Linked DNA regions of Arabidopsis thaliana. The protein of the gene in region 1 interacts with the protein of each later gene in a pairwise test. Each region holds a gene or a part of one and is shown in the gene's direction. Other genes may lie near its edges.

Region 1 (6,052 bases):
TATGCACAGACCAACCAATGATCATTGGCAAGCTGCAAAACGAGTTCTTAGATATTTGGCTGGAACTACGACTCACGACATTTTCTTTGCTGCTCAAAACGAGCTCTCCCTTCATGCCTTTTCAGATGCAGATTGGGCCGGAGACTCAGAAGATTGCGTTTCAACAAATGCTTACATCGTTTACCTCGGGAAAAATCCAATCTCATGGACTGCCAAGAAACAAAAGAGCGTTGCAAGGTCTTCAACAGAAGCTGAATATCGATCGGTGGCAAATACTGCTTGTGAAATCCAGTGGATATGCAGCCTTCTCACGGAGCTTGGGATCACACTTCCCAAACCGCCTGTGGTCTATTGTGATAATGTGGGTGCTACTTTCCTTTGCGCAAACCCGGTTTTCCATTCCAGGATGAAGCACATAGCCATAGACTATCACTTTATTCGTGGACAAGTTCAGCAAGGCATTCTTCGTGTGGCTCACGTCAACACTAGAGACCAACTCGCTGATGCATTAACAAAACCGCTTCCTCGAAATCACTTCACGGAACTTCGAGACAAGATTGGAGTGTGCATAGCCCCTCCATCTTGAGGGGGCGTGTTAAGGATACATAGGATCATCTCTCTTTAATATCATAATATTCCTCTGTCTCCTTTATGGAACATTCTATATTTGTACAACCCTAGTGTAACCTCCTCTGTACTTGTATATATACTTGTGTAAAGCTATTCGTATAATATAAGTCATTACATTCTTAACAAGATTAACTAACTAATATTTTCATTTTTTGGTTGATAATCAATGATTCCATGGCATGCACGCACGAAGTCATGTGTTGTCTCTACAATGGCAGCCACTTAAAAAACCTACCAAACCATTTACAAATGCTTAACTACAATTTTGTTTAGCAGCCCCCTTATCATATATGTACCCACCCATTTATTGTTTCATTCATTCATGTGGCTCTTCAGCATAACTGCAAGATACTAGAGGCCACAAATTGCAGTAATTTGTATTTTGGAGTTAATACCTTTGATTTAGGACACTAATTATCTCGAGCACTTGATCAGCCAATCTAAAAGGTTGTCAAATCAAAATAATAGAAGTGTCGAAATCAAAATCAGACCAAAACCATCAATTTTTTTGCAATAGCAAGAAGAATTCAAAATTTGCTGGACCTGGACCAGTCTAATCTTTATGTCATATCATTAGCTCTTGTCGTCACCATATATTATAAATCATTTTGTTGGTAAATAAATGAAAAAAAAAAACTTTTCGACCTTTCTCCATCAAAGACCTTTTACAAAATTCCAAACCCAAAACTTTAGGTTAAATTCCTCGCTCCAGCCAGTATGTAATTACGTAAGCAACTATCAATTAAATATACAACTCAATTCACAATCATGAAGATAACTCGAATACAACGTGTTTTAGTATCATTTATATTTCGTAAGGAAAATAAGCTTACCGTTTATTGCTCAGACTGTAACGTCACGTGCCCACATGTTTGACCTTACACTCCATCACAATCTGCATTTCGAAGAATCCGATAAGATTGGAAATGATTTATATAATCGAACCACATTGTGGAACATTCAAGAGGAATCCACATTAGACAATCTAATAAACTGTTTAATATTTTGAAAAGAAAGATTTTACATGCAAATGGAAAACAAAGATCTCCGCGTCTCAAGTTATTTGAAATCTCATTTTGCATATGGTCGGTTATTACCGTTGACTTTTAACTTTATCGTCCATCCCAATGAAACAACACTTGAAATATGTAAAAAAAATAGCAAAATTGACCCAAAAAAAAGAAGGACTTAACGGATCAGTGATTATTTTCTTCGAGGCAAAACAATTACATGCAAATGGAAACAAAAGCCAATTCACACGCATAAAAGTCACAATTTTTACCTTATAATATTCCTACAACTTAAAATAACATAAAAAAAAATGTCTTTATCGAAACATCACTAAAGAAAAAGAAATCTCTCTATAGTCTTTATCTTAGTATTTAATTTCTCCATCTTCCTTATGATCCATTATGCCCAAAGTCCTTCTTCTTCTTCTCTATAATTACTTCCACAAATAGAAGAAGAAGAAGAAGAAGAATAATATAGAAAAAAAGAGAGCTTCTCTTCTTATTTCTTTCTCACAGGAAATGGTGTTTGGTTGGAGAAAAGCGTTTTGCACTTCCGTTTCAAGTAATCAAGATAAACCTCAACAACATTCATCATTACACACTACTGATCCTCCAATTCCCACACCAAGATTCCGATCAAAGTTTGGTTTTTTATCCAACCCTTCAACTCCTCGTCTCCGATCACGCGGCGGAAGCGGCACTGGATGCCGCTCCTCAGCTTCCACATCAGTCACTATCCCATCTCTTCCAACTAGTCCCAAACTCCATTGCAGGACTACGAGCAATGCTACTCCAAGGACTAGTAACAGCTCAAGTCCCAAGTTTTTCTCTAACCCTTCTTCTCCTAAATCATCATCTTCTTCTTCCTCTCAAGGCGGCGGCGGCGTCTCTCTCCTCCGTGCCACGCTTCTTCTCAACAAGGTAGTTACTTTTGATTCAATCAAGTTCTTAATTTGAAAGACATAATCTAAAGCTCCGTTTTGTGTGTGTGTGGATGCAGAGTAATAGTAGTAGATGTGCGATTTGTTTGCAGAGAGTGAATTCAAATCAAAGCAACTCGACGGCGGCAATTTTCACGGCGGAGTGTTCACATTCGTTTCACCTTTCTTGCGTCAATGGATTAGAAGACAAGCGTTGTCCGTTTTGCTCTGCCGCATGGAATCACGCGCCAAAGTCGAATTATCCGGCTGTTAATAATAACTTCGGATCCGACCCGATTAGACGACCCGAGATCCGAGAGATCAAAACGGGGAAGTCACTGAGAGTGTACAACGACGATGAGCCGTTAGCTTATTCGCCGGTTTCTCTTGCTCAGATCAACACTATACATGAATCAGACGAAAACGACGACGTTGAAGATGACGATGACTTCCCCGGATTCTTCCGAGATTCTTCGATTACGTCTGATATGGTTCCTTCAATCTCAGGAAATCTGGAGGTTAAGTTGCTGCCGGAATCTGCCGTTGTGGAAACCGGGAAAAAGAAGGAGACACACGTCGTCATCATGAAACTAAAAGCGTCTCCGTCGCCGTCGTCCATCACCGATGCGATTAAGGCGCGAAGACCATCGATAGATCTGGTAACGGTTCTCGATTTAAGCAACGGCGGTGCTAATTTGCAAACGGTTAAACACGCGATGAGATCGGTGATCTCTCTTCTCCGAGAAATGGATCGTTTATCGATCGTCGTTTTCTCGACGGGGTCAAAACGGTTAATGCCGTTACGACGAATGACGGCGAAAGGAAGACGATCGGCGCGGCGAATGGTCGACGCACTCGGCGGAATGGAAACCACCGGCGGAGTTGGAATGAGCGTTAACGACGCGTTGAAGAAAGCGGTTAAAGTCGTTGAAGATCGGCGGGAGAAGAATCCGTCAACGAGCATCTTTGTTTTATCGGACGGTCAAGATCAACCGGAGGCAGTTTTGAAAGCTAAACTAAACGCAACGCGCATTCCGTTCGTCGTGTCTACCACGCGTTTCTCTCGTCCGGAGATCCCGGTTCATTCCGTTTACATTGCTTCTCCTGGAGCGTTGCTTCACGCGCCGCTACGAGACGCGTTCACCGAAAGAATCGCTTCGTTGCTCAACGTGACTCTCCATAACGTGAAGCTAAATCTCAGTTTGGTCAACGGATCTCATTTGACTGAGATTTCATCGGTTTACTCTTTAACCGGTCGACTCGAGAATTTCGGATCCGGTTCTGTCATCCAAGTCGGAGATTTGTTTGCGGAGGAGGAGAGAGAGTTTCTCGTTGAGCTCAAAGTGCCGACTTCGTCGAGTGGTTCCCACCAAGTAATGTCCGTACAGTCGTCGATCGTTGACCAAATGACACATCAGCCAATGACATGTCCTAAAGAAAAACGATTTTTGATCCCACGGCCACAATCCGTCAGATATGTATCTTCAAGCATCGAACGGCTGAGAAATTTACACTCCATGTGCCGCGCTGTAGCGGATTCACGCCGGCTTATCGAGCGTGAGGATTTATCCGGAGCGTATCAGGTTCTAACGACGGCTCGGTCCAATGCGTCTCATTCGGATGATAGTTTAAGGAGTTTGGAGGTTGAGCTAAATGAACTTAGCCGGATTAAACCGAGAAATAGTATATTAAACCGAACTGAAGATAAACCGGAGCAGCTTACCCCTACTTCGGCTTGGAGAGCCGCCGAGAAATTAGCTAAAGTGGCTATTATGAGGAAGCATTTAAATCGAGTCAGCGATATGCACGGCTTGGAAAACGCCAGATTTTAATTTTAATTTCCCTTTTTTTCGAAAATTCGATTTCAATGATTTTTGAATATATAATGGTACATAATTTATATAAGGAGGATAAGCAATAATTTAGTAAGGTATAAATAATAGAAGTATGATTATTCAGAAAAAGACCCACATAGGTGCATGATAGCGACAAGCAGTAGCCGACGGGTGTGGCCTTTTGTATTGCAGAGAGATTGAGACCCTACATTAGAAGGAATTAATTGGTCTTTTAGCATTTTTATCTTCTTCTTCCTTTTTGTAATCTTCAAAAACTCCAAATTAATGACTGAATAGTTAAAAAAAGTTGTAGATCAAATAAATGAAGTCTGCTTTTTTTGTGTACTATATAGAATTAAAAGTTGAGGTATAGTGGATTAGAGAGTGTGCTTGTAATGCTGGACTTCAAAATCAAAAGTTAAGTTTATATTATCATATGCCGTTTAACTTAAGAGGATCTATAATATATTATATCTTTCCAAATGAATGATCATGATTAGTCATGTGATCATCATTATAGCCTATTTTGTTATAGAAGGCACCGGGTTTGAATGATTTGAATAGTGCGTGGGGATTGTCTTTGTTGGTTGTTGGTGAATGGTTTGGTGGGTGCACCGTGGTAGAAACCAGGTCATGCGCCGTTGCAAAGCTTTCTTCTCGCTTAAATTCATTCATTTTATATCATTAAGACATTTACTAATTATATGTAGCTAGCGCCAAGTTGCAATTTGTTTTGAATGCAATGATTTTGTATACTTTTAAAATGGATGAAATGATTAACTATTGTCAAAGGTCCACTTCTCGATGTGATTCACTAAAATGATCAGTGGCAGAAGAATCTCGAACTATATATATGGTCAAATCATAACTAAAAAAACTAAGCTATTATTTTTTCACAAAAAAAAAAACTAAGCTATCATTCATCACGCAGTTACATATTGCATATGGACAATGTTAATGTCAACTAATGAAAGGGAAAGAATCTCGAACTATATATGGTCAAACGGTTTGACGCACCATACTTAAAAAAATACTAATCAAGGTGCATTACATTCATTGATGTTACAATTACTTGTACTAATGAACTCTGTGAAAATCAGAATAACCCGGTATAACACACTATTTGGAGTTATAATGGCTGATCCAACTTTTGGGAGATTTTGTCACAGTTGGGCTACAGTTTGTGCAATCGGCAACTGTAAAGCCCATTGAGAATTCCAAAAATAATGTAAACCAATTAATAAAGCATTTACCTTTGGCGCCTGGGACGAAAATAAGATACCGAAAACAACCTTTACTCTACAAACATAGGTCCATGTAAAATAGGCTTAGGCCCAAATAATGTAACTCTAAAACAAATCTATGAATCTATTAATCACCAAAGTTATCTTTTACATAATGTAATGGGTTATTTAAGGAGAGATTTAATAATTTCGAAAATGTTTGGTCAACTCCGAAAAGGTGAACGTGTTAATTAAAAAGTCCTGGTACTGCGGCAGAGAGAGAGATTAGCCCATATGACGTGGTTGTGATGTGTCCGAAAGCTGTCAACATTGAAAATCAACGGTCCAGATCAGTATACTGACACTTGGCTTTGTAAATTTGTTAATTTTCTTCTCTGGTCAAAAGTGAAAGTGTTAATTATAATTAAATTTTA
Region 2 (6,448 bases), on another chromosome or scaffold:
CAAGAGTTTATGGTTCTGTCTATGTTGTGTGGCTAAAAGACTAAACCTATGTTCTTTTATCATCATCATCATCATCATCATCAACGCAAAGTATATGCTACGAATTGATGTAGATAATGTATTTTAGTTATTAGTGTATTTAGTAGTTAAAACAGAATTAAGGTTTCCAAGGTTCTTTTAGATTTTTTTTTTTCTTAAACGATGAAGAGTATAAAAAAAAGTTTTGCATAAGATCTGAAAATAGAAAGACCAAGAGATCATAGAAAGACAGCTTCAGTTCCATCAGATATTTTATTAGATTTATGGAAACCTAATTGATCACGGTCTAATCCTTTTGAAAACCAGAACTATTCATGATAGTTAGATCTTTCCATAAAACAGGCTTCGATTGTCAAAACTTACCGTTTACATGACAACTTTTCTTTGATTTGGTTTTTCTTTTCTATATTTTCAGAGTATTGAACTCTGGACAGAGTTAACCAAAGACATATTTGACGACCAGCCTAACCAAGACTTGACCGGACAGCCAGATAATGGTGGATCTGGTGATGAACATTCCTCTCAATATCCTGTCTCTGAGGTCAAAGAAAGACCGATTCAACACTGGTATATGTGCCTTTCTGACGTAAAAGAAAAACCGCTTCAACACTGGTCTATGTGCATTGCTGAGGTCAAAGAAAAACCGAGCCAACACTGGGCTATGCGTGGTATGTGTTTTATATATAGTATATATTACATTATAGTTATTGTAAATACCATTAAATTAAAGTAGCTAGAACATCAGCACTTTTTTGGTTTCTTGACTGACAAGTATCATATTGATTTTCTTGGCAGCTTCAAAATTCCCAGAGAGTTTCACTCAAGCACAAGGTGGTGATGATTGTTATGAAAATTATGGTGATGGTGCTGATGGTATTGATGATGATGATTATGATGAAGAGAATAGTGTAAGTTTGAAGCACTTTTCCCATTTTCATATCAAAGCTCATTAACTAGAATAAGTAAATCACCATGGATTTTGTATAACGGAATTTTGGTAAATTTAATTAGTTGCTACTTTGTTTATTGTCTCTGACTGAATCTTTCTGATATAGGAATCGAGTTTGAAGTGGAACTGTGACTATCAGCTGTTAAAGAGTGGCTACTTGTCTTTCGATGAAGAAGAAGAAGAGGATAATGACGATGAAGAAGATGTTGACATTTTCTCCGAAGATAGTGATGATTCATGGAATGAGGATTTTGATGATGAAGATGAAGAAGCGGATACTACAGTTTTTAAATATTCCGAAAACATGTCGGAGCTTGATTTGGGATCAGCGACGAATTATACCCCTAGTTCCTACGATCATCGTAATGAAAAAGATAGTGTAAGTTTTTGTGTAGCAGTTTTTTTCACATTTTTATACCTATGCTCATACAAAAACTAGGAAAATGATCATCTATGAAATGTTGTTATTTTAATCAGTTGCTGATTTGGTTATTGTATTTGTGATTAGGGTTCAAGTTTGACGTGGAAAGGTGGTTATCAGCAGTTATATAATGTTGACACGTCTTCCGACGAAGAAGATGAAGAATCATGCGATGAGGAGGATGATGAAGCTGGGGAATATCACTCTGAAGAAGCGATGGAGATGTCGCGCGAGCAGAGAATGAGCGAGCTAAGGAAAGTGCTTCATGACGATGAAGATGACGTATCACAAGGATTTGTGAATGTGAGGCGAGAGACAATTGCGAAGAATACGGAATTTGGTGAGGTCGAGACCCTTTTACCAGATGGTGATTGGGTTTATGTGAAGAGTGCTTAGGGCTCTGATCTTTTGGCAAAAAATGTGTGTGATTTGATCGAGTTTATACTTTACATCGGCTTTAATGATATTTATTTGTGTAGTTTTTTGAGTGTTTCATTCGTTTTTCACAAGGCTTATGTCACTCTATTAACTTGGGGTTTAATACCAAATAGTGTACTTTTTCTTATCATTATTGTTTGTCTTCTTTGCCATTCGATCATGTGATCTTTTAGATTATCTTAAGGTACCTTTCCAGTGGAATCATCGACATTTGGTCTATACATGTATTTTGAGCTCAAACACTAATGCAAAACCACAATCCCACCAAAATCGATTTAACACTAGTTTTGGTTTATTGGACCAAACCAAGTAGAAAACCAACAAAACCACCAGTACCGTGATTATTTTCTTTTCTAACGCGTAATAAATATCTTTTATGGCTTTATTATGCACTCTCATTGCGAAAAAAGAAAAATCCAAAGGCTTGGAAAATCGACAAAAACGAAAAGGGTAGTGGTGAGATGTTTCATCATTCTCTGTTTCAGTTCGGTAATGGCGGAGATTTGCTATTTTGGGGGTCTAGTCCATTATAAATCACCATCTCTTCCTTTGTCTCTTCATTCTCTCTTCCGCAGCAAGAAGCCACATTACTACAATTCCACTTCTCTCATGGCTGAATGTCTCTCCTCCTCCACCGTGGAGCCTCCTTCTCTCCTCGTCTTCTCAGGTTCCACTTTCTTCCTCTTCCTTGTTTCGTGGGTCTCCCTAAAGTTACGATTTTTATGTCGATAAGATCGTCTATTTGTGTTAGATCTTGACCAATTACTTAGAATTTGACATTTGTTAATTCTGTTTGTTGCAAAGTGCAAAGCTTTATCATTGTCTTACATTGGTTTAGGTAGTTTTCTTTTGCTCTGAATTTTGGAAAACGTTATATTTGTTGCTATGAAGGTGGTACTGGATTTAATGGTGTGGTTGAAGAGTTGAAGAAGTTAACAACACGAGTCGCTCATGTTCTTCCTGTCTCTGATGATGGTGGAAGTACTGCTGAGATTGTTCGTGTTCTCGGTAAGTTTTAGAACTCACTAACATTGCTACAAGACCCAGATTATATATGTTTTAGCTTCTTTAAGTTTTTACCAGAAGTAATCTAAGCTCAATATCTCCGTTGCTATAGGAGGGCCAGCGGTTGGTGATATACGTTCGAGGTGTTTAAGGCTGTCTGATGAGAGTACTTCAGAGGCACTTGCTGTTAGGCGGTTGCTTGGCCATCGCTTACCTATTGATGCACATCAGGCCAAGAAAGATTGGTAATTTATCCAATGACTATGTTTTCTTTATGCACATAGTGTGGTCTACTCTATAAGCTACACATTTAAGGTTCTGTGGTGGACAATATTGTGTAATATACCATTGGCTGAGTTGGAACTTTGACAGGTACGATATTGTAGAAGGTAATCATTCTCTGTGGGATGGTGTATCAAGACCCTACAGTGAAACAATTCGCGCTTTCTTGATATACTTTCAGAATGAGGTAATGTTAACTGATACAGAGAAACATGTTTTTATTGGTTTCATATTTGATCAGTTCCAAGTTCCAACTTCTTGATTGTTTAAATTTTTCTTTACCTTAATATTCTGTCATTTCTTACTTGACATGTTTCTTATGATACAGATTCATAGGCGACCTAATGAGAGATTTTGCTTCAGTAATGGAAGGTATTGAAGATCTTTTTCTCGGCTTCAACTGTGTATTATTTTGTTCGCCTGTTTAGTAACTCACTTATGATTGTTTCCTTCTTGTAGCATTGGGAACTTCTTCTTTGCAGGAGCAAGGATATTTTTCCAGTCTTTAGATGCTGCAATTTTTCTGTTTTCACGTGTTTCAGAGATTCCTTGTGACAGTTTGGTCCTCCCAGTGATATCAACCAATGATAGGCTAACACTAGGATGTGAATTACAGGTATGAAGCTTGATCTCTATTTGAATTCCCGCAGCTAGCTTATGGAATCCCATTCTTGTCCACAAATATCGCAGCTAAAGCATCATTATTTGCGGGAAGAAGTATCGCTTTCTATACATAAATCTTGGCTGTCGCTTCACTGGCCATCTTCTTGGTTTAAACAATTAATGGCAAGATTGAGGTGGCAAATTTGTTCGCAAACTAACAAGTTATGACTTTAATTTGTAGGATGGGACTATAATACGCGGACAGAACGAAATTTCTCACCCGACCACTGGGACTACGCAGACAGTTGACAAGGTGTTCTATTTGAATATCTTACATTGGTGTTTTTTGATGATCACGAGAACTAAGTTTACTATATACTTGTATCAATTAAAAATGTCAATTTTGCCATATGTAGAATTTATTTTCTTACATTGTCTTTCTATGTTTCTAGTAGAGACATTGTTCTACTTCCGCTCTCCCATCGAAGATAAAGAGAGTGTTTTACATGTCAAGTGAAGGCAATAATCTGCTTCATGAGGTTAACTACTCTGCTTTTATATATACAGAATGTCCTAGATATCTTCAATGTTATCTCTAATGATTCTGATTCCCTTTAAGAAACTCTATCGTTTTAGTTCTCTACTTCATTTCTTTGTTTTGCACGGTGTATTTGACATTGCAAATGTTTGGTGTTATGTCCATTAAACAGGTCTTCCCACCAGTTAACCCAACTGTCCTAGAGCAGTTGAGAAGCGTGGACTGTATCGTTTACGCAATGGGATCCCTGTTCACTTCCATTTGCCCATCACTGGTTAGCACCCGCAATAAATATGTTGTGCAAAAATGGTGGATTACTAAATTTGTGATAACTGTTATAGACAAGTCTTTCTGTTCATCAGGTTTTGCTTGGTGTTGGGGAGATTATCTCTTCCAGGTCATGTCGTAAGGTATGCTGAAGCTTGTCAAAAATACTAATGATGGTAAAAATCAATCTGATTTCTTCTCTCTGTCACAGGTACTTCTTTTGAACGGTAGCCAAGACCGAGAAACAAGCAGGTTCACCGCTTCCTGCTTTGTGACTGCTATCGCTGACGCTCTCAACAGAACTCATGGAGATACTAATATTCGGCTCAAGAATCCCGTGAGTGGTTCTTCACAATCCACACTCTTTCGATGTCTTCTTTATCAGACATATATCGATATCCAAGAACATCATTTTTGTGTGCAGCCTGGATATTACATCAACACTCTCTTGGTCCCGAAAGATGGAGAAATAGCAGTAGATCTCAAACAATTGTCTGAACAAGGGATATATGATGTTGTCAGTATCTCTTTCCTTCACTTGTTTCCAAGTTTATGTGCACAACAAACACTCACTGTTACCTCCACTCTATTGCAGAGAGTCGTGGAGAGTGTTGGTGACCCGAAGCACGGTATCTTGTTCAACCCGAGCTCACTGATAAACACACTGGCCGGTTTGGTGGAGTAAATAGTGATTCTTTAGGCCAGAGCTAGTTTCTTCTTCTACGCAATTGGGACCATGATTTTTTTGTTACTGTTTAGTTTGATCCTTTAGTGAATTGATATGAAAGGTTATGAATGGTCAATGATCATATTCTTAGCTAAGGAAAGACAAACGCCTCTCTTTCTCTCGGAGTTGTATCATATGTTTTTTCTTACACGTTTTACATATAACTACTGTACAGATGAATACAGTTCACTTTCCAATGAAACCAAATGATGACATTTCTACATAACTATGTGTGCTTTTCATTCCCAAACAAGCAAAGGCATCTTTGTTTCTCACTGTGTATTAACATGTGTGCTTTTACTAAAAAGATGTATTAAAGCAAAGCAAATGATGCCAGCAACAAACAGAGCGTGCCCTGAGATTGGTAGGGCCCTAAGCCCATACAACTTTGTTGGCCCTTTCAGTTAAGTTTAGAAAAGAATCACTTGTTCAATAACCAATGTTAATTGTTGAAAGATGAATTTAACCGAAGATTTCTTTACAAGTTTTTGACACAGTGATCATAATTTTATAATGCTCACAAGTAGCAGTACGTGACTCTTGTAAGTCAAGTAGAGAGACATAAATATACCAAAATATTAAACTTGTATGATGACAATGACGCATCCATTTGAGCCCATGCTTCATTGCTCCTCCATTCAGTGATTGGGCAGACATATAATATGTATTGTTTTAGACACTTTGTTTCTAGTCATTCGTTGCGGAAATGACAAACAAATCAACTTTTTAACAGAATTTATTACAAAAATATGTAAAGTACACGCCAAAAGAAAAAAGTGTACTACTTTCATAATTTAACATAAACTATGCTATTTTTGACTAAACCTTAAGTGTTTACATACTACGAGGATCCTAACCAAAAAGGAATTCATAAAGTGTGATCTCTGAATAATAAAAAGAAAACTATAAATATATGGGGTAAATAGCTTACTTGGTGAGATTTCTTGAAATAAAATTGGACCAAGATCATGAATTCGTGTTTCGACGGGTTATAGAACTTTAAATTATTACATAACCAACCAAAAACTGAAAAAGGTTACTTTAGTTATTACAACAAAACAATCGACGATCAAGTAACCCCAAACGTGGTGTATATCATTAAATTCTTGATTAACCACTAGACAAGAGGTTTTCGATTTTGATTTCAGTATAATTGCATATATTGAACCCAAAGAAGCA
Region 3 (4,222 bases), on another chromosome or scaffold:
CCATCAGAAATGGATATGAAATTGCCACAAAAGGAAGATATAAATTTCGAATTTGTGAACCTTTAGTCAAAACTATACTCTAATCCTAAAGACCTTAAAGTCCATAAACTATACTCTAAATGTGCTAGACATCAAAACACCAATGCATCCATTCATTACAAAATCAGCCAGTGCGATATCTTAACACCGAAAGAATACCTCCACTTTGATGATAGAAAACTATATAGTATCATGAACATAATACATTTTGAGCAGCTTACACATATATAACTGTTTGGATACTCATGTTGTTCAAATATCACAAACAACAAAATTTACCTGCCTGTTAGGATCCTTGGATCGTTCTGCAGAAAGGAATGCAATCGCCATGAAATAATCATCCCATGATAAGTACCTTCACAACAATTCAAACAAAATTCTACCATTAAAAATCAAAGCAGATTCTAAACTTGGGATTTTCTGAAAGTTGGAAACTTTAGCTATGGAATAACGAAATTAGATATATTGAATGGAATTATGACAAACCCATTTCGTTTCAAAGGACTGAAAGGATCTAGAGCAGGGAATTTTCTGGAAATTGCAGAGATTTCGGTGGAAGTGAATTTTCGGGATTTGGGGTTTTTAGGGTTTGATGAGAAGAAGCGAAATGCTAGAGCTGAAATCAAAGCACCGAAGATTGCAGATGTAGAGACGAGTGTAAGATCTCGAGAGTTCATGGGGAGCTTCAAAATCGATAAAACAGATTTATCCAGAAAAATCTTTGCTCTTCTCTCTTCACTATTAAATGTAGCGGGAAACTATAAGAGAGTGAAAATCCCCGCCATTCCGGTTAAGGCAGGTCTATCATTCGGTTCATATGATTGTTGGTTTAGGTTTCGGTTAATAACTAGATTGGTTTACTGATTGTGCTTTCTCTTCTCAGCAGAAAATTATGGCAATTAACAGATTTTGGTTAATTTCATTTTTTTCAAAAATTATGTGTTATTGAATCATTTATTTTATTATTTGTTATTTTTTTTTATTTTTTTTAGTATTGAGTGCTACCAATATATTTTTTGGATAAAAAAAACTATACCGGTCCAGATTTGATATCTCAACCATCTCTTCTATATTTCTATTAACTATGGATTTAAACTTTTTTGTATCGTTGATGTTTTGACAATCTTTTCAATTCACAAAAAGGTTATAAAAGATTGATTTTGAAATTTTGGTTAATGATCTTGTGAAAAAATTGACATTACCTTTCAAAATTTTTTTTTATAACTATAGTTCTATATTCTTATTTTGCGCTTTTAAGATACCGTCTCTGACTTTTTTATTGGTAGGCACGGTTGTGTATACCTATATAAGTTTTAGTTTTATTTCGCTATTTAGTTTTCTTTTGTCTAATGTAATGTAATATGAACTGGATAGATTAAGAAAACATAAAGTGGAAACGAACAAAGTTTGAAAAATAACAAATAATTGGAAACGTACATGAAACTATGAAACACATGAAACAAGTTAATAACTTTAAAAAAAAAACATTGAAAGCATTACGTACATTTTTATCTATAAATAACAAAATGTATTTAAAACATAACGACCAGGCAATCGTAGATCACAACACAATTCAGATTAGCTATTAAACCTGTGGAATTTTGTTTTTTTTTGTCATTTAGAGCGTCTATACTAATTAATGTAATTGAGATTGCAGCGGAAAGACTCAAACCCTAGTTTCCGAATTCTCAATCCTATAAATCTGTTATAATCTTTCAACTATTTAAATCACATATATAAATAAAATATAAACTGTTATATGAGAAGAATTTGATTAAATTACTAATATATACGGACTAAGCACATAGTAAGTGAGCTAGTTGCTAGCTTTTGAATCCATTAAGCCACGTGCATCACCAATTATTACACAACCCACATCCACATTTTCATTTTTTTAAAAGGATACGTTAATTAACAAATATACAATCGCAAAGTTATTAGTTACAAAAACATATAAAATGAGATAGATGATGAAAAAGTGAAAAGGGTTTCTTTAAAAAGCCTCTCATGCTTCAATAACGTGATCCGTTTATATCCCATCTTCTCTGTCTTTTCTTCAACGGAGATTTTCTCTACACCTTAACTATTTTTTTTCTTCCTATTTCTATCTTCGTTTTACTAACCTACCCTCCATTATTTTCACTTTACAAGTATGCTCCTCTTATGTTTTGGAAAAAAAAAAAACAATGAAATTTTGCAATTGCAAGTTATGTCATAATATATAGTAGCTTTAACGTAAAAAACAACATTAATCACGTTTGCGTTTACATGTTTATATTATTTCGACATAAACGCAAATAACATGTTCATCATTATAAAACATTCTAAAAATTTGGTTATTGGTGACTATTTATTTTGTAACTCGACAAAACTTAAAAAATCTTATATATCTAACCTATTTTTAACTTTAGTTGATTGTTGTACAATCACATCATTTCGTCTTATCATGGAACCACACTTGACAACAAATTCACATAATGGCGGTACGGTGGTCGTTTGTTAACTTTGAGGATTATATAAAAACCCAATGATCAAATAACCCAAAAAGATATGCATATTCGAATAAGGGGTTATAAGTGTAATTTCAAGTAGATAGTATATGTGCACAGACACGAAGCAGCTTACATATAAAGTGATTGGTAATTGCCATCCCCACACTTATTGAGAAGTGCAGCCTTTTAGCCAAAAAAAACAAACAAGAATACAAAAATGGCTGAACAACAAGATCATCACAAAGAGCTTCAGCTTTTACCTTCTCCACCGTCTACCGAATCTCCGGTAAGGAAACACCGACCAACAGTTATAACAACCGACCATCACAACAATCACCACCGTTCCTCCTCCATGATCCACCACGATCTTGACCTCAAACTCTCCATCAGCCTCAGCTCGATCTCAACAGCGGAGGAGCTTCCAAACGGTGGTGTGGAGGCGTTGAAGTGGCAAGCCGCGGAGCAGATAAGGCTTGCGGCTATAGAGAAGGCTTACGCCGAGAGGGTTAGAGAGTTGACTCGCCGTGAGATGGAGATGGCTCAGTCTGAGTTTGCTCGTGCAAGGTAGTTAAAGCTAGCTCGATCAAGTAATAATTCTGGTTTTGGTTTGGTTAACGGTTTTGAATTGTAACCAGGGTGATGTGGCAGAAGGCAAGGGAAGAAGTGGAGAGAGCTGAGAGATTGAAGGAGAGATCAATGACGAAGATCGATACGGCTTGCTTGGAGATCACTTGCCACTCTTGCAGACAAAGGTTTAGGCCATAACATAAGTATTTATTTGTTTCTCTTAATTATTGTTATTATAAATGGATATTTGAAGAGAAAGAGAATGTTGGTTTAATTTAAATTTTATTTTGTAGTTAAATTTAATTTGTTTTCATTTTCGAGTTTGGTAATATTATATAGTCCTTCCTTTTTATTTTCTTGAAATCGAAGGAAAACAATATGCTCAGATAAGAGATGATTTATGTTTCCAGCTACTTTACTTCCTCTTCTTTGCCAACCAAAAAAAAAAAAAAAAAAAATCATGAATACCATTTAGTGAATTACTTGGGAATTAGGGATAAAATTCATTAGTTACGTTGTCAACATTAGCTATGTCAATTCCTCAACGATCAGCTATTATATACTATATGGAGTATTAAAATCTAACTATGACATTTATTAACCAACAGAACAAAACCTAATTAGTAATTACAGTGATTAGTTAGTTAAATGCTTGATGTTAAAGTAACAAGAGATGGAGTGACATTCACAATCGAGGAACGTGGAAAATAAAAAAGAGAATGGACGGATTGCATGATTTGAATATAATTGGCTGACCCATATGTGATTCATTTGATTTGTTGTAATCATCTTTGAAAACGTTCGTTCAATGAAAATTGATGATTATTCTGAAAACAAATAATCAAACACACGTAAAGACATATGCATGGAGATGATGGGTATAATTATTGCATTAACATGCTTATTTCATCTACTTTAATCTCTTAGGTCGCTTTAAATAGTATATATGTGTGTACTATTATTTTGTGTTTGTGCATATACGTACATTTACTTACAGAAACTTGATAAATGTATGAATATTTTTGATAAGAGAGAGGATTAATTTTAATTATGTACTTCGTAGACTATGGTTTAAATCAATCGTGTACTACAGATAATATGTTCAAATTTAAATCCTAAAAAAT
Region 4 (5,648 bases), on another chromosome or scaffold:
CGCTTGTGTTAAATGGAGATGCCACATTTTGTTTTGATTTATTTGCATCCTATCACAAAGTTATGATTTATAAACTAAGACTGTTTAGCATTGTCCCATAGTCCCATTCAATAGTTAGTCTTTTAAATAAAGCTCACATTTAGTTTTTTTTTTTTGTCTGATAAAAAAGGCTCCATTTAGTTTATATTTGAAATAAATGCAGATGAAAAGAATCTTAATATTTCAAAAGAAACTGAAGAATTATTAATACGTTATTAAAGGGAACGATCATCAACAAAGACCCTCGAGTCAATCCAAAAAAAAATGACCTTAATTTCTTTGCAATTACTATACACCACCACCCATCCTGACCTCTTAAAATTTCGTATTTTCCCCATTAATACATGTTTCTTTTTTCCGTACTATTACATCACAAAACTCCTAAAATCGTGTTTGCTAATTTGATTATGACTATTCCTACGTCCAAACAAACCATTTGCTCCCCATCCGAATTTAAGGCCGATGCCCCGAAGGTGACCGAGAGAATCCTCTTCTGCACAGACTGAAAATCCAGAAACTACATGATTTTATTTTTTTGTAATACAAGCAAATAATAAAAACCCATCTTGTTATAGTTAATAAATAAACATAAAATGTGAGAAAATTTACAATCTTTCTGTCTTGTTTTAATTAATGTTTTTTTTTGAGATGTCAGAGGAGAAAATAATAAAAAGGAGAAAAAATCCTAGTTCAGAACCAAACATGGATCACTTTCAAAGAATCTGTTGTTTCAATTTCTGAAGAAATTTGTGTTCGTACGTTTGAACTGCAGAAGCAGTTTGGAGTTTAATGCAAGAAGTGTAAGGAAGTGAGGCATGGGGTTGCATTAATGATCACTTTGAGTTTCTTCCTGTCTCTTACTGTTTTCTATCTCAGAAATTGATATTAGGAATGTGAATAACAAAACAAACGAATGAAATACCATGCAAACTCTAATATGGATGTAGTAACAGAAAATCTGTATTGCTCTACTAATTAAATTTTTTAATTTAGTAATATGAATTCAGAGTCTATTAGTATAAACCTAAAGTAAACAGAAATTTTTGGAGTGCGCTTCAAATACCCTTGTAAAATTACAGATGACTTTGTATGGCAACTTTTTAAAATTGCTAAAATAATTTCTTATAATAAATATTGAATATTTTTAAATAATTCAGTACCCACTCTATAAATCTATATAACTAGTCTCTCTCTTTTTTTTTTTTTTTGGGCACATATAACTAGTCTCTCTATCAGTTATTTTCATATGGATTTTGGATTTTTTTGTACATATATGAAAAACACAAATGATAAAATTATTTAATGGTATTAAGCATTCGCCACAGGGTATGCTATCAATTTGGTCATTTGTGAGTGAGATTGATATGGTTTGGGGCTAATTCAGTGAAGCTCCTTCGGACTCTCAAAGTGGTTTATTAGACAGTGTGAATGCATGCGGTCTTCTATTTGTTTGCGAGGCTAAAAGAAACGCTCATGATACACAACTAATCAAATGACTGTTGAAGAAATTTAAGATTTCCAAAATTGTCTTCTTCTATTTGTTATTGAAGTATTGGTCAATCCATCAGTGATTTAACGTTATAGCAATATAGGCTACTCGTCGACTAGCACATTTTGACGTACTTAAATACTAACCTTGTCACTCTTTTTTTAATACTGTAATAATGCCTTTTGAATTTCCATTGGTGATATACACATTTTCCCACTAGATGACACTAAAGGGAACTAACCCCTAAAACAGTTTTTATTTTATCATAATTGAACCATGACAAGCAAAACTGGATTCAAATCTAAAATGTCAAAGTGCTCCTCATAATCTATATATAAGCGATCAAAGACCTTCTATAGAATTAATAAATTTACTTTTTAATGCAATTTTTTTTGTTCAAAACTATTTAATGCAAGTATGCAACTAAATCATACTGTTTGACTGAAGTAGTTAATAATAAAACGTAATGAAAACAGTGTTCCTATTTTCTTTTATAACATTTCTGTTAATAGGATTTAGCCTACTTCTCTAATTCATTTGATTCCCTAAACAAGAGAAGTAGTGATAGTTTTTTTTGTCTTTACTAAACATATACACATAATGATATAGATACACATCTATACATCATAGATAGATACATAGATATAGAGAGAAAGAGAAATGGTGTATAGAAATATGGGTGAGACTTTAAATTAAATTTATGTAAAAGAGATGAATGAATATATGAAAACAGGTTGGGTAGGTGAAGAGAGGCTATAAGAGGGAGAGAAAGAGGTCGTAACCCTTTTGCCCTATTCACATTTTTATTTATCTTTCCATTTAGCCATTCTGTTCCCTGTCTCTTCCTCCTCTCTTTTTGACACATCACATCATCATCACATCATCATTCAACATCAATCATCATCATATGCATACACATACATCTGTGTTCTGCGGATCGAGTTAATTAGTTATGGCTTCTTCGAATAGACACTGGCCAAGCATGTTCAAGTCCAAACCTCATCCCCATCAATGGCAACATGACATCAACTCTCCTCTCTTGCCTTCTGCTTCTCACCGATCTTCTCCTTTCTCTTCAGGTCCTTCTACTTCTACATATTTACCAATTCAAAACTAAATTTTGTTTTAAAGAACTCTTATCTGATGAGATTGTGAATTTTTTAGGATGTGAAGTGGAGAGGAGTCCAGAGCCAAAACCAAGATGGAATCCAAAGCCAGAGCAGATTCGGATACTTGAAGCAATCTTTAACTCCGGGATGGTGAATCCTCCAAGAGAGGAGATCAGGAGGATTAGGGCTCAGCTTCAAGAATACGGCCAAGTCGGTGATGCTAACGTCTTCTACTGGTTCCAAAACCGTAAGTCCCGTAGTAAACACAAACTCCGCCTCCTCCACAACCACTCCAAACACTCTCTCCCTCAAACGCAACCGCAGCCGCAGCCGCAACCTTCGGCTTCCTCTTCCTCTTCCTCCTCCTCTTCCTCCTCCAAATCCACCAAACCCCGAAAAAGCAAGAACAAGAACAACACTAATCTCTCTTTGGGTGGTAGTCAAATGATGGGGATGTTTCCACCGGAACCGGCGTTTCTCTTCCCGGTCTCCACTGTCGGAGGGTTTGAAGGTATCACCGTCTCATCCCAATTAGGGTTTCTCTCCGGTGATATGATTGAGCAACAAAAACCGGCTCCAACGTGTACCGGACTCCTGCTGAGTGAGATCATGAACGGTAGTGTGAGTTATGGAACTCATCATCAACAACACTTGAGTGAGAAAGAAGTTGAAGAAATGAGGATGAAGATGTTGCAACAGCCACAGACTCAGATTTGTTACGCTACCACTAATCATCAAATAGCTTCTTACAACAACAACAACAACAACAATAACATCATGCTTCATATTCCTCCCACTACTTCTACTGCCACCACTATTACTACTTCGCATTCTCTCGCTACTGTCCCATCAACTTCGGACCAGCTTCAAGTTCAAGGTAATGTTAATATATAAAGTTATCACCCTTTTTAAGTTATAGATTACTTATATACATGTTGAAATTTTACTCAATCGTAGAGATACATTAATTTTGTGTCAACAATGTAAGGGACACATTGATCCATACAAATCTTTTTTTAAAACCTTCATGTTTAGTAGCCTTTAGATGATTCTTTATTTCTATATACCCTCTCTCTCTTTCTTGAAAATAGATTGTGTGAGCTTTACAATTTTGTTTTATATAGATTGTTATAGTCATTATACTAACATGAAATAATGGGATAACAATGGCTAAATATGGATGCAGCGGACGCACGAATAAGAGTTTTCATCAATGAAATGGAGCTTGAAGTGAGCTCAGGACCGTTCAATGTGAGGGATGCATTTGGGGAAGAGGTTGTTCTGATTAATTCCGCGGGTCAGCCCATTGTCACCGATGAATATGGCGTCGCTCTTCACCCTCTTCAACACGGAGCCTCGTACTATCTGGTTTTGTTTCCTCTCTATTTTCCTTTGTTATACTAATTAAGGTTCCACTATAGCTAGATACTACTCTATCGGTTAAATAAACTATGGTAAAATGAATACTTATTTAATGTCTATATAATTATAGTTTATACATCTATATTAGTACTAGTTTATTTCTTCATTGGGATCTAAAATGGATAAATGCATGCGAGAGACATGTTGTTTGGCTTAGGTCAACAATGTTGACTCAATCTAATTTAATTACACACACACACCTTGCGCTTCTTTAGAGCATTCATTGGGGTTTTTTTTCTTTTTTTGGCCTTCGTGTATTTTGACTTTTGTAGTATAAATTCTAATACTACCATATTTCGGAGGATGTGCCTGCATGTGTGTGTATATAATTGTTTATGTGATTTAATTTCGAGGTCTCTTTTCTGCTTTTGCAGATCTAGTCGTGTGGGAGATTTGAGTTTGAAGAAGAAATTAAGACCTGTCTCTTTCTTTCACCATCTCTCGTACGTAGGCTTAAATGTTAAGATTTTATAAAGTATTGGTTTCAGTTACCTGTTGTGACGGTGTTTATGTATGAGTTTCGGACAACATTCACAAAACTCTCTCGTTAAATTGTTGACCAATAATATATGATGTGTGTTTCATTATTATCTAAAGAAATCTATAATGTTGTTCTGTTTCTTCTTCTTGAAAAATTGATTATATATGTGGAATTGTTAAACAATGCGCTAATATGGGGATGAGTAATGTAGAAGCATCACATCACCCAGTGTGAAAGTGAATTAGGTCATGCGTTATGTTTAGTGTTTAGACTGTGATGTAAGGTTTACATGCGGGAAGTAGGGAACTTTGACTACAGTTCACGTGTGAGGTGATATTTCACTTTAATCCCGGGGATTAAAACGTTACATTAATATAATTATTATACTACACCTAATCCATCCCCTCTTCAGAAATGCATTATTACACTAATATAATTATTAATTATAAATTATAGACGGTTCACTCATTTTTATATAAAAAATCAATAAATAAATATGTACTCTATCAAATATATTACCCTTTAAAATTAAAAATGTATGAAAATTCGATTTCAAAGATGATTTAGTTCTTTTAATATAAAAATGCGTCGAATGATGATAGTACGAAAAAAATAGTTTCAGTTATTTTAGATAAAATTAATTAGTAAATATTGCTTTGAACTACACAATGCATGGAATCAATTAAGTAATTTGTAATGCCAAAAACAAAACAATTCATTTATATTGAAATTATGCTAATTAACAATAGTTGATATTCATAGCCACGTTATGAATTTTTGTATAATCTGAATTCAGAGTTAATATATAATCTGAATATTTTTTCATCAAAAGAAAACAAATTTTTTTTATAAAATAAATAAGTAACGTATCAAAGTTAGGAAACAGAGTTTTTGACAGTCAGTTGATAAGATCCTTTGCTTTGAAGTTTTAACTCTCGATTCGATACTAATATTTTACCTTGTTGCAATGTAATATTTTTTTTCTTTTTCTTGCTGCAATGTTTATGGAGTATTCAAGGGAATTAAAGAGAATAAAACGCTGGTAAATAATTGTAGTTGAATGCAAAGAAGGTCTAGCTAGGTAGGGGCTTTGTTAGATCAAATCAGA

The links.
Region 2: the proteins of WAVH2 (region 1) and MEE18 interact in a two-hybrid assay, tested with the Arabidopsis thaliana proteins (one large-scale study listed by BioGRID).
Region 3: the proteins of WAVH2 (region 1) and AT3G48550 interact in a two-hybrid assay, tested with the Arabidopsis thaliana proteins (one large-scale study listed by BioGRID).
Region 4: the proteins of WAVH2 (region 1) and HB-3 interact in a two-hybrid assay, tested with the Arabidopsis thaliana proteins (one large-scale study listed by BioGRID).

The regions. Positions count from the first base shown.
Region 1 is NC_003076.8:26,259,313-26,265,364, forward strand, and holds WAVH2 (Zinc finger (C3HC4-type RING finger) family protein), read left to right. Parts: upstream 1-1,823; 5' UTR 1,824-2,159; coding exon 2,160-2,561; intron 2,562-2,640; coding exon 2,641-4,392; 3' UTR 4,393-4,858; downstream 4,859-6,052. UniProt on the Arabidopsis thaliana protein: Probable E3 ubiquitin-protein ligase involved in the regulation of root growth. Acts as a positive regulator of root gravitropism.
Region 2 is NC_003071.7:14,395,062-14,401,509, reverse strand, and holds MEE18 (maternal effect embryo arrest 18), read left to right. Parts: upstream 1-2,234; coding exon 2,235-2,514; intron 2,515-2,738; coding exon 2,739-2,855; intron 2,856-2,964; coding exon 2,965-3,097; intron 3,098-3,209; coding exon of another isoform or gene 3,210-3,224; coding exon 3,225-3,321; intron 3,322-3,462; coding exon 3,463-3,506; intron 3,507-3,593; coding exon 3,594-3,750; intron 3,751-3,978; coding exon 3,979-4,050; intron 4,051-4,192; coding exon 4,193-4,276; intron 4,277-4,447; coding exon 4,448-4,549; intron 4,550-4,637; coding exon 4,638-4,685; intron 4,686-4,753; coding exon 4,754-4,879; coding exon of another isoform or gene 4,880-4,966; coding exon 4,967-5,227; downstream 5,228-6,448. Other genes in the region: AT2G34100 (nonsense-mediated mRNA decay-like protein), read left to right, coding at 455-707, 835-947, 1,095-1,367, 1,497-1,805.
Region 3 is NC_003074.8:17,991,300-17,995,521, forward strand, and holds AT3G48550 (SHOOT GRAVITROPISM-like protein), read left to right. Parts: upstream 1-2,519; 5' UTR 2,520-2,748; coding exon 2,749-3,095; intron 3,096-3,166; coding exon 3,167-3,296; 3' UTR 3,297-3,480; downstream 3,481-4,222. Other genes in the region: AT3G48540 (Cytidine/deoxycytidylate deaminase family protein), read right to left, coding at 319-394, 526-716.
Region 4 is NC_003071.7:14,340,430-14,346,077, reverse strand, and holds HB-3 (homeobox-3), read left to right. Parts: upstream 1-2,299; 5' UTR 2,300-2,480; coding exon 2,481-2,607; intron 2,608-2,692; coding exon 2,693-3,514; intron 3,515-3,823; coding exon 3,824-4,041; 3' UTR 4,042-4,433; coding exon of another isoform or gene 4,434-4,439; 3' UTR 4,440-4,656; downstream 4,657-5,648. UniProt on the Arabidopsis thaliana protein: Homeodomain transcription factor required for meristem growth and early development. Promotes cell proliferation and prevents premature differentiation in meristematic tissues during postembryonic development.